Linked DNA regions of Arabidopsis thaliana. The gene in region 1 interacts genetically with each later gene. Each region holds a gene or a part of one and is shown on either strand. Other genes may lie near its edges. The genes, in order: CB5-B and ETR1.

Evidence for each region.
Region 2: of CB5-B (region 1) and ETR1, changing one suppresses a phenotype caused by changing the other (phenotypic suppression), as found in Arabidopsis thaliana (one study listed by BioGRID).

Annotation. Positions count from the first base shown.
Region 1 is NC_003071.7:13,875,169-13,880,749, forward strand, and holds CB5-B (cytochrome B5), read right to left. Parts: upstream 3,543-5,581; 5' UTR 3,280-3,542; coding exon 3,193-3,279; intron 3,191-3,192; exon of another isoform or gene 2,589-3,190; coding exon of another isoform or gene 2,502-2,588; intron 2,245-2,501; coding exon 2,178-2,244; intron 2,096-2,177; coding exon 1,845-2,095; 3' UTR 644-1,844; downstream 1-643. Other genes in the region: AT2G32710 (Cyclin-dependent kinase inhibitor family protein), read left to right, coding at 113-182; AT2G32730 (26S proteasome regulatory complex, non-ATPase subcomplex, Rpn2/Psmd1 subunit), read left to right, coding at 5,021-5,166. UniProt on the Arabidopsis thaliana protein: Membrane bound hemoprotein which function as an electron carrier for several membrane bound oxygenases, including fatty acid desaturases.
Region 2 is NC_003070.9:24,732,222-24,738,393, reverse strand, and holds ETR1 (Signal transduction histidine kinase, hybrid-type, ethylene sensor), read right to left. Parts: upstream 4,233-6,172; 5' UTR 4,111-4,232; intron 3,742-4,110; 5' UTR 3,697-3,741; coding exon 2,791-3,696; intron 2,716-2,790; coding exon 2,347-2,715; intron 2,270-2,346; coding exon 2,015-2,269; intron 1,933-2,014; coding exon 1,805-1,932; intron 1,715-1,804; coding exon 1,517-1,714; intron 1,389-1,516; coding exon 1,028-1,388; 3' UTR 676-1,027; downstream 1-675. Other genes in the region: AT1G66345 (Pentatricopeptide repeat (PPR) superfamily protein), read right to left, coding at 1-675. UniProt on the Arabidopsis thaliana protein: Ethylene receptor related to bacterial two-component regulators. Acts as a redundant negative regulator of ethylene signaling.

The DNA.
Region 1 (5,581 bases):
ATGTGTTTCCTCGTTTCATCTGTTCTGTTCTTTTGGTTATGAGTTTCCAGTTTGTTCTGTTCTTCTCTTTTGGTCTTGTGTCTCTAATGGTTTCTGTCAACTCTTTCTTCAGGTACAACTTTGATCCTGTGAACGAACAACCACTACCAGGACGGTTTGAATGGACGAAGGTAGATGATTAGAAACAACAAAAAAATGGGGGGTTAATAGTTAATACAGAATATATTAACATTTTCCTGCTAATTATCGGTTTGATCTTATTACCATCATCCGTTTTCTTAACTTTTTCAACATGTAAAGAGCTTAGGAGAAAAAACCCATGTAGTGTTTTTAAATTGGTGTCTGTAACATAAGTGGCTGAAAAGGGTTTGTGTAACAGAACTTGATACCAATCCTTTTTAAGCCTATACAGATCACCTTAGTAGTAGTACTAAAGCCATAAGAGAAGGTTTTTAGAAGTAACCCAAAGTCTGTTTAGGGTTTAGCGTTTAGGGTTTAGAGTTCTTTCGGTTTAAGGGTCAGTGTTTTCTTTTATGAATTCCGGTACAGGGGGACTCTGCATTCTCTTAAAACTCTTTGTCCTGTAACCATTTTAAAAAATCTATCCTTTTATGTGTATACATGTACTGATCTCAAACTCTTTTCAATAAAGACTTATCCTTCTCTTTTTTGTTCTCTTCATCTTAAGTTCTTGTTCTTATCATCATCATCATTATGGTCCATGTGTTGTGTTCTTCAGACATATAACATCACAATGACAGGTAGGTAATACATGTCTATATATACACAATTGTATACTGATAATAGAGAGACAGAGAAGCTGTTCGTTATGGATATGGATAGTGTCTCATAGTGGTCTTTGTTTTGTCTCTGTCTTCTCACTAAAATCAAAAGTGTTAGAAAAAGATTCTCTTTCTCTTTCTCTTGCTCTTGTGTGAGTCCATTGTACTTTCCACTCTGTGAGATTTGTGCCCACTATATTATCTTAAATATGTAATTCGTACCCACTCACTACATATCATCATCATCATCATCATTATGGTGATCGTCTTTTGATCAATCATCGAAACTTCGTCGCGTCTTTGCTTGTCATAAGATTCGTTTTCTGATTGTATTGATTTGAGTCTACACACGACAACGTTTTGAATGAAACAGTCCATAGTTGTCAACTTGCCACAGAATCCATTCCAATCTTTACTTAAATGAAATTTATTGCTCTCGAAGTTACAAGTATCGAACTTTGTGTCTGCGGTTGCGACTTCTTGCGGCCAAAGCGGTAAAGAGGTACAAAAAGAGGGTCCTACAGTTGCAGAAGAGTTTTTGGATTCTTCGTGTGGATATGTTTTTGTGAGCTCAAGTCACTAACTGCCACACACTCTATCAAGTAACTGCCAAAACAAACGTCTCTTTCTCTTTGGAATTCGTAATCTGTTGTTTTTGTTTCTCCTTTTCTCAAAGTTAATTAAGTGTTCTCTTAAGCATTCAATTAGTAAGATCATGGCCTTGTTTTGATAGTTCCTTGGTTACTTTTCTTCTACAGATCTCAAACAATACTAAACCAGACTTTCAAAACAGATCACTTATTAGTCATAACTTCGGTTTCAGAATCTGAAATATAGATGAGATGTTCATTAGTTGCATAAGGCAAAAACACCAACAAGACTGTTGTTTATATGCAGTTACACCACAATAGATAAGAAATTATCCAAAATACATTCAAACAGCAAAATATGGGAAGAGACAATAACAAAGGGAGAGACTTTCAGATTTGTCTTTTCAAAAGACTTGAATCTTTCTCTCTATATATAAGATATAAGGAAGTAATGCTCAGAAAAAAAAGAAGCCTACCCTGATTTGGTGTAGATACGGATTCCGACTGCTAAACCAAGAATGGCAAGGGGTACGAGGAACTGGAGGAGCTTGATTATGAATTCAGAGGTCTTGTCTTGATTGTAGTGAGGCTGTTTAGGAGGTGTGTATTTGACTTTCTTTGGTATTGTTGTTGGATCAATCTCTCCTACGTAGTACTGCTCCATCATTTCTCTTGCACTCTCGCTGTGACCCACGTCCTCAAAATCATCCGTTGCATCCTTACCTGAAAAGAGAATAAGAATCAAAAACCGATGGATTGATCTCCACTAAGCCGGGAGCATGGTGATAGTTGTGTTTATACAGACCTGTTGAAGACAAGAGAACATCGTCCCCACCTGGATGGTCTTCAAGAAACTTGGTCACATTGTACACCTGCATTTTTTTGCAAATGTGTGAAGTTAGGAGAGGCAAATGAAACCCAATTACAGAACTTCTGAACTTTGAAGATTTCTTGTCAAATCAAGAAGTTTAAAACATGGGAAGATCCACTTCTGAGGCTTATGATTAAAATGTAAGAAACAATGGAGCAACAAAAAGAAAAGTTCTTAGGTTATCGCTTTCTTTGGACTAAACAAGATATGGTGCATATAACTCTAAAAATCAAACAATAGGAATAGAAAGATGAATACTTGAAACAAATTACTGTACCAACAACCAAGTCCAGAGATACATTTGGGATCTTCTGAACTTGATAAAAAGGATTGTTCTGTGTACATAGCAAACTTGTTGCACAGAGGTAAACTCCCAAAAAAAATGAACTTAAGTGACAATATTAATAAGAAACATAAACTACTGATGGAACAACAGACCAAAACATTTAATGTTTCCTACTTTCTTGTGATAATCTACTGATTTCACAAACCAATCAATGAAGAAAACAAAAATCAAGTTCACTATGAAGGGAGGCTCAAGGATGTATCTACAGATTCCTTCACAAGTTAATAATCACAATACAAAAACGATCGATCTTCAGGGCAAACAACTAATCGACAAGTGTCAGTAGTCCATCCCAAGAAAGGTTGATGTCGATCAAACAAACTCTAAAGACAATAAGAACTATTTCTACATTTCTCCATCTTCAATCAAAATTAGAAAATTTTCAGCTGATAAATAGATCAAAAGAGCTAAATCTTCAGCATAAGCTTAATAACTACACCATTTTCTACTCTCTCTACCCATCTAAAGATTTGATCTGATAATTTTAGACTTAGAAATCTGAGACTTCAAAAGCTTAATCTCATGCAAACACCAAAAGGGGAAACTTTGAAGCACGAGATCTCTAATTTCAGAGGTGAGAATAAGGAGAAAGAAGAATGAAACCTTTCCATTGATGACAATCCAACAGTCATGAGCTTGATTATGCTCTGAAACTTCTGAAAGAGTGAAGATCTTTGCTTCGTCTCCCATTGTTTGTTTGATTCTTGTCTACCAGAATTAACCCACCAAAACCTGACTCTGAGACTTAAAGCTCAAAACTTTATACAAGAGTGTGAGAGAGAGTTGTTGAGTTAAAGACCATTTGACGAATCAGTTAAATTCCGGTTTAATTTGGTTCGTTCTCAAAGTAATCGGTTGGTGAGTTTTGGAAGCTTTGAAAACCGGTTTAATGAAAATTGATTTTGAGTTTGTTCTCACATAGTCTGTACCTAATTGCTGCTCTACTGTTTTGGCCTTATGGTATTCATCTGTACGATTTTGAAAACATATGTGCCAATGTTGAACCGATGGGTTAAGTGGTTTGGTAGTAGTTGTTATTTCCGGTTGAGTGGATGGGGTAGGTAGGTAGGCAGTGCAAATGTTGCGGTTGTGCGCTCTAATTCTGCCTTTTTCATTCAAGATCGGTAGGTGAATGATGTGCAATAAATTTTATTATGGTACATATGAATTCTTTTCTCATAAGTAATATTTATGTAGTTTTATATTAGTAGATACAACTACATAAGAAAAATAAATTGCCGCTGCTTCATACCAACTGACCTTATTTATTAGGGACACAAATCTTTTTCTTTCTAAAGCTTATATAAAATGTACATATTATTCAAAATCAATAGATTGACCGGTGAATTTCTGACCTTGTAAACGAAAAGAGGTCTGAGAAGTTTCAAATTTGAACCATCGACAATGAAAAAAATACATTAGCCATGTTCTCTAGAGAAAAACAAGCAGGTTAACCAAAAGATTAGAACCATCATTTTCTTTATGTTTTTTAGTACCAAATAATGTTATTAAAAGAAAAAGTTATACTTTTAGGACCACCAAATCTTTTTCAATACTAAAAATTGTTGCTTTGAAAATATTAAATACAATTTACACATTAAAAAAAACTAATATATATATAATTTTAAAATGAACAATAAATATAAATAACTAAAATCGTGTTTGTTTGTTCATACACTATTTTCATTGAACTTCTGATACGATAAACAGATAACTAAAAAAAAAATTGAATGCATATGTTTTTGAATTACATCTTGAAATGATTTATAAGCTAAATAACTAGATGACTTTGTTACATAATCGAGCTAATGGTCGACCACACCATCATCATAGTTTACGCTTACCATTTCGTGTAATGAGCTGAATCGATTTATGATAATTTTGTTTATAAAATTTGATTAACCGACTGTAAGTTTATTAATTTCTCTATGATGCCTTGCATATCTCTATAAAGCTTTGTATTATGTTCTGAATTGCAACACATTTTATTGATATGATATGATGATAATTTAGCAATTAGGGTATCCTAAAAGCTCCTAAAACTTAAAATTGTATGACCAACCAATTTTGTAAAAGCAATAAGGAGTTTTTGTAAATCTTCAAAATATATTGGATCCATAACTCAATAACACAAAACTTGAGACTAAAATCATAATAAAGCTATACATTCGGGGCAGTTTTTAATATCCTGACTTGTTGGGTAAGTCTCTAAATATTCGTAGTTTGCATCCAAGTCCCTGACTTACTATCTTCTCCCAAATCTCCTTTTATTTTTACTTTCGTCCTATAAACTAAAATAAATAAGGAAAACACTCTTCTTCAAATCCAGTAGAGAGATTCAAGACGAGTCTCATCGAAAGTTCGAATCTTTCGTCATCTGATTAGCTTTCTCTTAGGGTTTATTTCGATTTCGATTTAGTGTTCTCCATCAATGGCGACACCCATGGTTAGTTCCGCTGGAGGATTACTAGCAATGCTCAACGAGCCTCATCCTGTTTTGAAGCTTCATGCGCTCTCTAACCTCAACAATTTGGTTGACCAATTCTGGCCTGAGATCTCCACTAGTGTCCCCATCATGTAATTCTCTTTTAAACCCTTTTTTTCCGGTTTGAGATTTAGGGTTTTGTTCTCTCACTTGATCTGTTTTTTTATTCGGGATATTCTAGAGAAGATTGTGGGATTTGGATTGTTTGAGCTGTGGTTGTGTGTAGGTCTTCTCGATTTGGGTATTAAAGTTCAAAATTTTGAGTGAGGGATTGATAGTTTGTGGCGATGCAGATTCAATGGGTAGGATAAGAAAAGTAAAGTTTTTTATTTTACATGACTAGCTTTAGCAAGTTCTGTAGTGATCTTTATAGATTATGAATGAGTAATTGTATCTAACTTCTTCCTGGACATGATTATGTTCTTTTACTCATGTAATGTAAAGGCTTGGATTCGTTTTGGTTTATCATCGTACATTCTAGTGGTATAGATTCCAGTTGTAGAGGCT
Region 2 (6,172 bases), on another chromosome or scaffold:
CGCACATTCGTAAATCCTCCACACAAGATCATCAATCTTCGATTTCGAAGAGTAATGAATCAACGTGTTTAAAGTAATCACACTAAGAGTAAATCCACAATCACACAATCTCTTGAACACATCAAACCCTAATTCCAAATACCTAATCTTAGCGTAACATTGAACTAACAAATCAAACACTAAAGGAGTAGAAGATGAGATCTCATAAGTATCTAACAACGAATCGACTAAATCCGAATCGGGAGGAGAATTTAACAGAGACGATTCAATTAAAGCTCGAGCGTCGATTAGTAATCGAGCTTTGACAAGGATATGAATCGTCAATGCGTAAGATTTGATTCCGTGACGGAGATTTCGAGTGTGGGATGACCAATGGAAGAAGGATAAAGCTTGTTTGGCGGTTTCGGGGTTTTTGAATCGGAGAAGGATTGTTTCGATTAAGGAATCTGATAGATCTATGGAGGAGAATTTGGTGGAGAGAGTTTCCCAGGTATCGTTGGATTGGAGGGATTTGGAGATGTAGTCGATGAGGATTTGTTGTTGTTTGTTTGGATTTGGATTAGTTTTGGAGGAGAAGGAGAAGAAGCCATGGATGAGTTTTGGAGATCGGGTTGATTGAGAAACTAAGTAACGCCATTGTTGTTGTTCTACTAAGCGGCGCAAAGCTGACGCCATAATACTGCATCAATGTCATACATGCACGCAACAAGCATCCATAACTCGATCCAAATTCTTATAAGAATGTAACTACATATATAAGGATACAACATTAGTCAAACATGTAATCTGAAATGGTATGATTATACCACCACCATCTTGTTCCTCTATAACCGAAATCGCCACGGACACATACCGGTTTAGAGTTTCTATTTTGTTATTCCCTTTCTGTTTTAAGATATCATCCAAAACGCTCCGACAATCTCTGATATGTACACAATTAAACCAGAGAACATCAGCTTCCGATGTTTTACGGGAGAAGAAGGCGGGAGCGGAATTACTCCTCTGGGGCATGGGGCATCCATCGCCTTTACATGCCCTCGTACAGTACCCGGGGCTCGAGAAGATCAGACAGAACATCTCTTATGTTGTCTAGTGATACGGGTTTGAGCAACACACCGTCTAGACCAAAGCTCATGCATTTCTCTTTTGTGGATTTGTCAGTGTTACCACTGAGTGCCACAAGTAGTGGCCGTTGGTGGCGTTGTTTTGTGAATTTCTCGTGAATACGGAGAGCGATTTGGTAGTTTTCGACCCCGGGCATGCACACGTCCATGAAGACCACTTTGTGCTCATGGGACACAACTCGGAGACACTCCTCGTTTGAACTCACCGTGGTCACTTCGCACCCAAGGTGTACAAGAAGTCCCTTCGTCACCATTCTACTTACCCTGCAACCAAAATAATCATCGGTTTCTCATAAGATTAAATTTGCGTTTTTTCTAAACGCCAATATCTGCATTTGCAAGAAGTAAGGCGAGAGATTTTGCAAAGAGAAAGGTGAGAAGCTTATACTAACCCGTTCTCATCCATGACAAGAACCTTAAGTCCAGTGAAATTTGAATGTCGGGGAATGGCTGGAACTTTCGGTATGCCCGACTGTTTAGATTCGTTTGAACGTTCTGAGATCCCAAGTTTAACATCAAAGATAGCCGTGCATCCTTTTCCAAGACCATCGCTCTCAATCCAAATGTTACCCTCCATCAGATTCACAAACCTTGTCATATTAAACGCTTATGAGTAAACTTTTAACAACACAGAAGACAAGAAAAAGTTGGAAAAAAACGTCTTTTAATAAGGCTCAAACCTCTTGGAGATGGCGAGGCCAAGCCCACTACCACCCGAGCTTCTCGTCGCTAAAGATTGTGTTTGAGCAAATTTAGTGAAAATCTTTGGAATGTCTTGAGGATTTATTCCTGCTCCAGAGTCTTTTACCTATATTTGAATAATCATCAAAATTAAGACCTAAGAAATACTTTCAGCTATGGTATAAGATCCCAAGATACAAGATAATAACCTTCACTCTCAAGTAGAAATGACTCCCAGTTGGCACGACAAAAAAGTCAGCAGCTCGTGTGTCTGACTTGGTGACAAGAGCGGTTACGGAGATACTACCTTGTTTGGAGAATTTCACAGCATTACCAACTATATTTAATATTATCTGCATTAGCCGTTTCTCATCCCCAACAACAAATTCTGGCAAATCTGGTGCAAGATTTAGTGTGATGGGTAATTTCTTAACAACCGCTATAGGCTTTATCAGATTGAGGACCTGCAACAAGATTCAATATGACAATCAAGTACACAAATAGTATAAACTTATGAAACATAGAGCTGTTCAAAAGTTACCTCTCTAAATAATGTATGAAGATTGAATGTCCCAAGTTCAAGTTGAAGACTTCCATCTTCTAACCTTGAAAGATCTAAGACATCATTCATCAAAGTTGCCAAAAGGTTACTACTTTTAAGTATTGTTTCCACCATCAGTCTTTGTTCAGGGGTTAGTTCCGTTTCTTGGAGTAAGGAAGAGAGTGCAATAATCGCATGCATCGGTGTTCGCATTTCATGGTTCATAACCGCTAGGAAATCATTGCGGGCACGGATTGCTGTTTCTGCTTCTCGTCTAGCTAGATCAAGAGCAACATTCTGCTCCATGAGAAGGTCCCTAGCTCGCATCGACTCTTCTAGGATCGCAGCATGTGAGAGAGCTACAGCCACCTATAATAAGAGAAGAAAAGTTATAGACAAGATCATGAACATAGCAAAGAAGAGAAATTCTCAGCAATGTAAAACCTGATCAGCGACGACTTCAACGAGTTCCAACTCATGGACATGCCATTGCCTTGCACTATCTGAAGGAAGCATCAAAACCATCAAAGCATATCTCTTTGTTGAAAGCTCAGGCCAGTCATTAATCTGAAAATTAGAAAGGTGGAGAAGCGGAACCCTCACAGCGACCACCTCCCCTAGCATATATTTCCCAGAAACAGGTCTCAACCTAGCCACAGGAGAATTAGGAGATATTTTTACAGCCCTACTAGTACCAAACACTTGGTTAATCACCGGTAATTGAATAGGAACCGTATACTCCACGGGATGTTGATGACGAAGTGTATAAGAAAGCTGTAGCTCTAACCCAGTTCTAGTAGGCATCCACAATGCACACTCCTCCAAAGCTAATGTCCTACCAAGCTCAACAAGTGTAGTCTTTAAAATAGTATGTCTATCTAAAGTGCTTCTAATCTCATGAGTCAACATTCTCACATGCCTTCCGGTTTCTTCCTGAGTTCGAATCAATCCCATTTCTCTATCGAGCTCAGCAGCTTTATTTTTCAAGAAAAGCTCCCGAGTCTTAACACTCAAAAGATCAGGAATAATATGAACAAGCATCAACGCAGTAGCACACGAGACAACAGCGGTTAACACCTTCGCGGTAGTCATCACAAGCGCCACGGTTCTCGAATGCGTAGTGAAAGTCCATAAGTTAATAAGATGAGTTGCTCCACAAAGAACGATAAAAGCACCAAACTGAACAAGTACCCATCTATACGGAAACACGGCTGATTTCTTCACAAAGTAAATCAACTCAAGAGGAATCGAAAAATACGCAATCGCAATGAAGAAATCGGAGATGTATTGGTATTTCATTAACAATTCATCCGCTGGCCATTGCGGTTCAATACAATTGCAGACTTCCATTATGAATTTTTTACACTATAGTTCCTCTCTCACACATACACACACCTGTGTAACAAACACATAGCATTATCAACTTCGATTTACGACGAGAACGTAGCGTAGACAGATCATGAGCATCAAAATTGCTATAAATTCTGAAGAATCGAATTCGATCACAACGATTACGAAAAAATAGGTTGCATATTTCAGTCTCGAGAACAGTAAAATTCGAATCCGAATCATGAAATTAACGATTAAATCTTAATTTAAAGTTCCTAATAACGATGCATTACACTAGATAAAGACCAATTAGGTTAATCAATCTCTATGATTTGAGATCGACGACAACAACAGAAGAAAACTGTGGAAGTGAAGAATATATATAAAGAAGTCACGAAACAATCTGAGGAGAGAATCGAGGAAGAAGAAGCTTACTTGGGAAGAATTGATCGGAGAAGAGGAGGAATTGGGGATTTGGGACGCGGCGGAGAGCGACGGAGAAGGAGAAAAGGGGAGCGTTGAAGCTTTTTTTCAAGTCAAAATTGGTTGGGTTTAACACTTCTTCTTCGTTCTTACTTTTTTTTTCGACGTCATTTCTCTAATTTTTTTGTTATTATTATCAGATGTTTTTTTTTAATAAAAAAGGGTAATATAGCTGGTGGGTGCATGAATTTGTTCATTCAAATATCTTATGATAGTGTAATGACGTAATGTAGATAAAGGAATAGAGTAAAAATGGTAAGAAAAATACAGATAATATAGGATAAATATCCCCATATTTATCAACAAATACTATCTTTATGGTTTCACCAAAAAATGCAAAATATTGTTTTCACTAACTTTCACCTTACATTGATTCGTATGATTTCAAAAAAGGAGAATGATAATGTCATTTGGAGATTAAGCAATATATATGTTTAGCCAATATAAAATTATGAGTTTTAAGTGTAATCTTATGTAAATAATCGTTTGTATAAAACATTATATAGTTGTAAGAGAAGTAAAACAAGTTGAATCAAACAAATATGTTCATGTGAATAAAAGCTATATTATGTCAACTTGGAGATATATCAAACTACTAATGTTATATCTGGTTAACTGTAATATATCTCCAAATTGACATAATATAGGTTTTCAGTACCTCAAAACTAAATCAGAGTTAACCAGAAATTTGATCCTAAACCAAAAGTATATTAAGCAATTATATAAAATTATTACATTAGTTTTTTTTGAAATCAATCCTCCGAAAAATGTACATAAGACCTTAACCAGTCAAATCAAAATCCAAACAAAACTAAATTTCATCGATTCAATTCTCAACCAACGTTTATGTCTCATATATACTAGTGTTGATTACTTCAAACTTACAATATGGAATCTTAATATATACCTTCAAGATGATGGCTCTAATCAGCCTATCTCGAACTGAATCTCATTTTAAGATCAGTATTAAATCTCAACACACGAAATTTTGATACATACAGTAAAACCTCTATAAATTAATACTCGATAAATTAATAATCTCTATAAATTAATAAATTTTTTCGGTCCCGAGTTGGAACCACTGTAAAAAGTGATACAAATCGATAAATTAATAAGATAATAGTTTTTTTGAAAATCTTATATAAACATAGGGTCCCATTAATATCATAAATTACAGAGAAATATAATTTTAATATTGTTTTTTTTTTACTTAAATTTGTATAAGTTTTTTTTTATTTCATTTTAATATTTTTACTCTATCAAAAACTTTTCTTGTTGTTTTCTAGACATGATAATTATTTCTATTTGTAATTGGTTCTAAAAATATATTTTAGATAATGGAATGAATCTTAAATTTTTATAGAAATTAAAAAAAAAATTACCACTTTTGGAAAATCTCTCTGTAAATTAATAAATATTAATTTATCGATAAATTAATACCTTTATAAATTAATAGAATTTTGTGGTCTCAACATTATTAATTTATAGAGATTTTACTGTATTAAATTTTATGGATTTCCAAATTAAATCTAATTAATAATAAATAGATTGGTGTATATTCTTTATATATAAGTGTTGGTCCTTCAATTTAAAATAAGAATAAAAATCGCAATACCAAAATATATGGATTGAACCAAATTGATATTAAGGGAAAGAGTGGGGCCAATACTATAATGACCAGAGAATCGAAATAGAAAGAAAACTTAGGACATGGTTGGCTCACACTGGTCCACAAGTAACTCTTGTGGTTACAATTTTCACTTCTAATCCCATAATTCTCCTTCTTTGTCCTCTTCTTTCTCCCTAAAATCCTAAATCCTTCTTTGGATTACTCTTCTTCTTCATTTCTTCCCACAAGGTTAGTCTCTCTTCTCTATCGAATCTGTGTTCTTCACTGTTTCATCTCTCCAATTCCCAATTTTTCCTTGATGGGCTTTGTCTTAAAAATCAATACTTTGAGTTTGATTCAAGTGGGTAATCTCTACATTTAAGCAAAATTGTATCTTTATGTCGT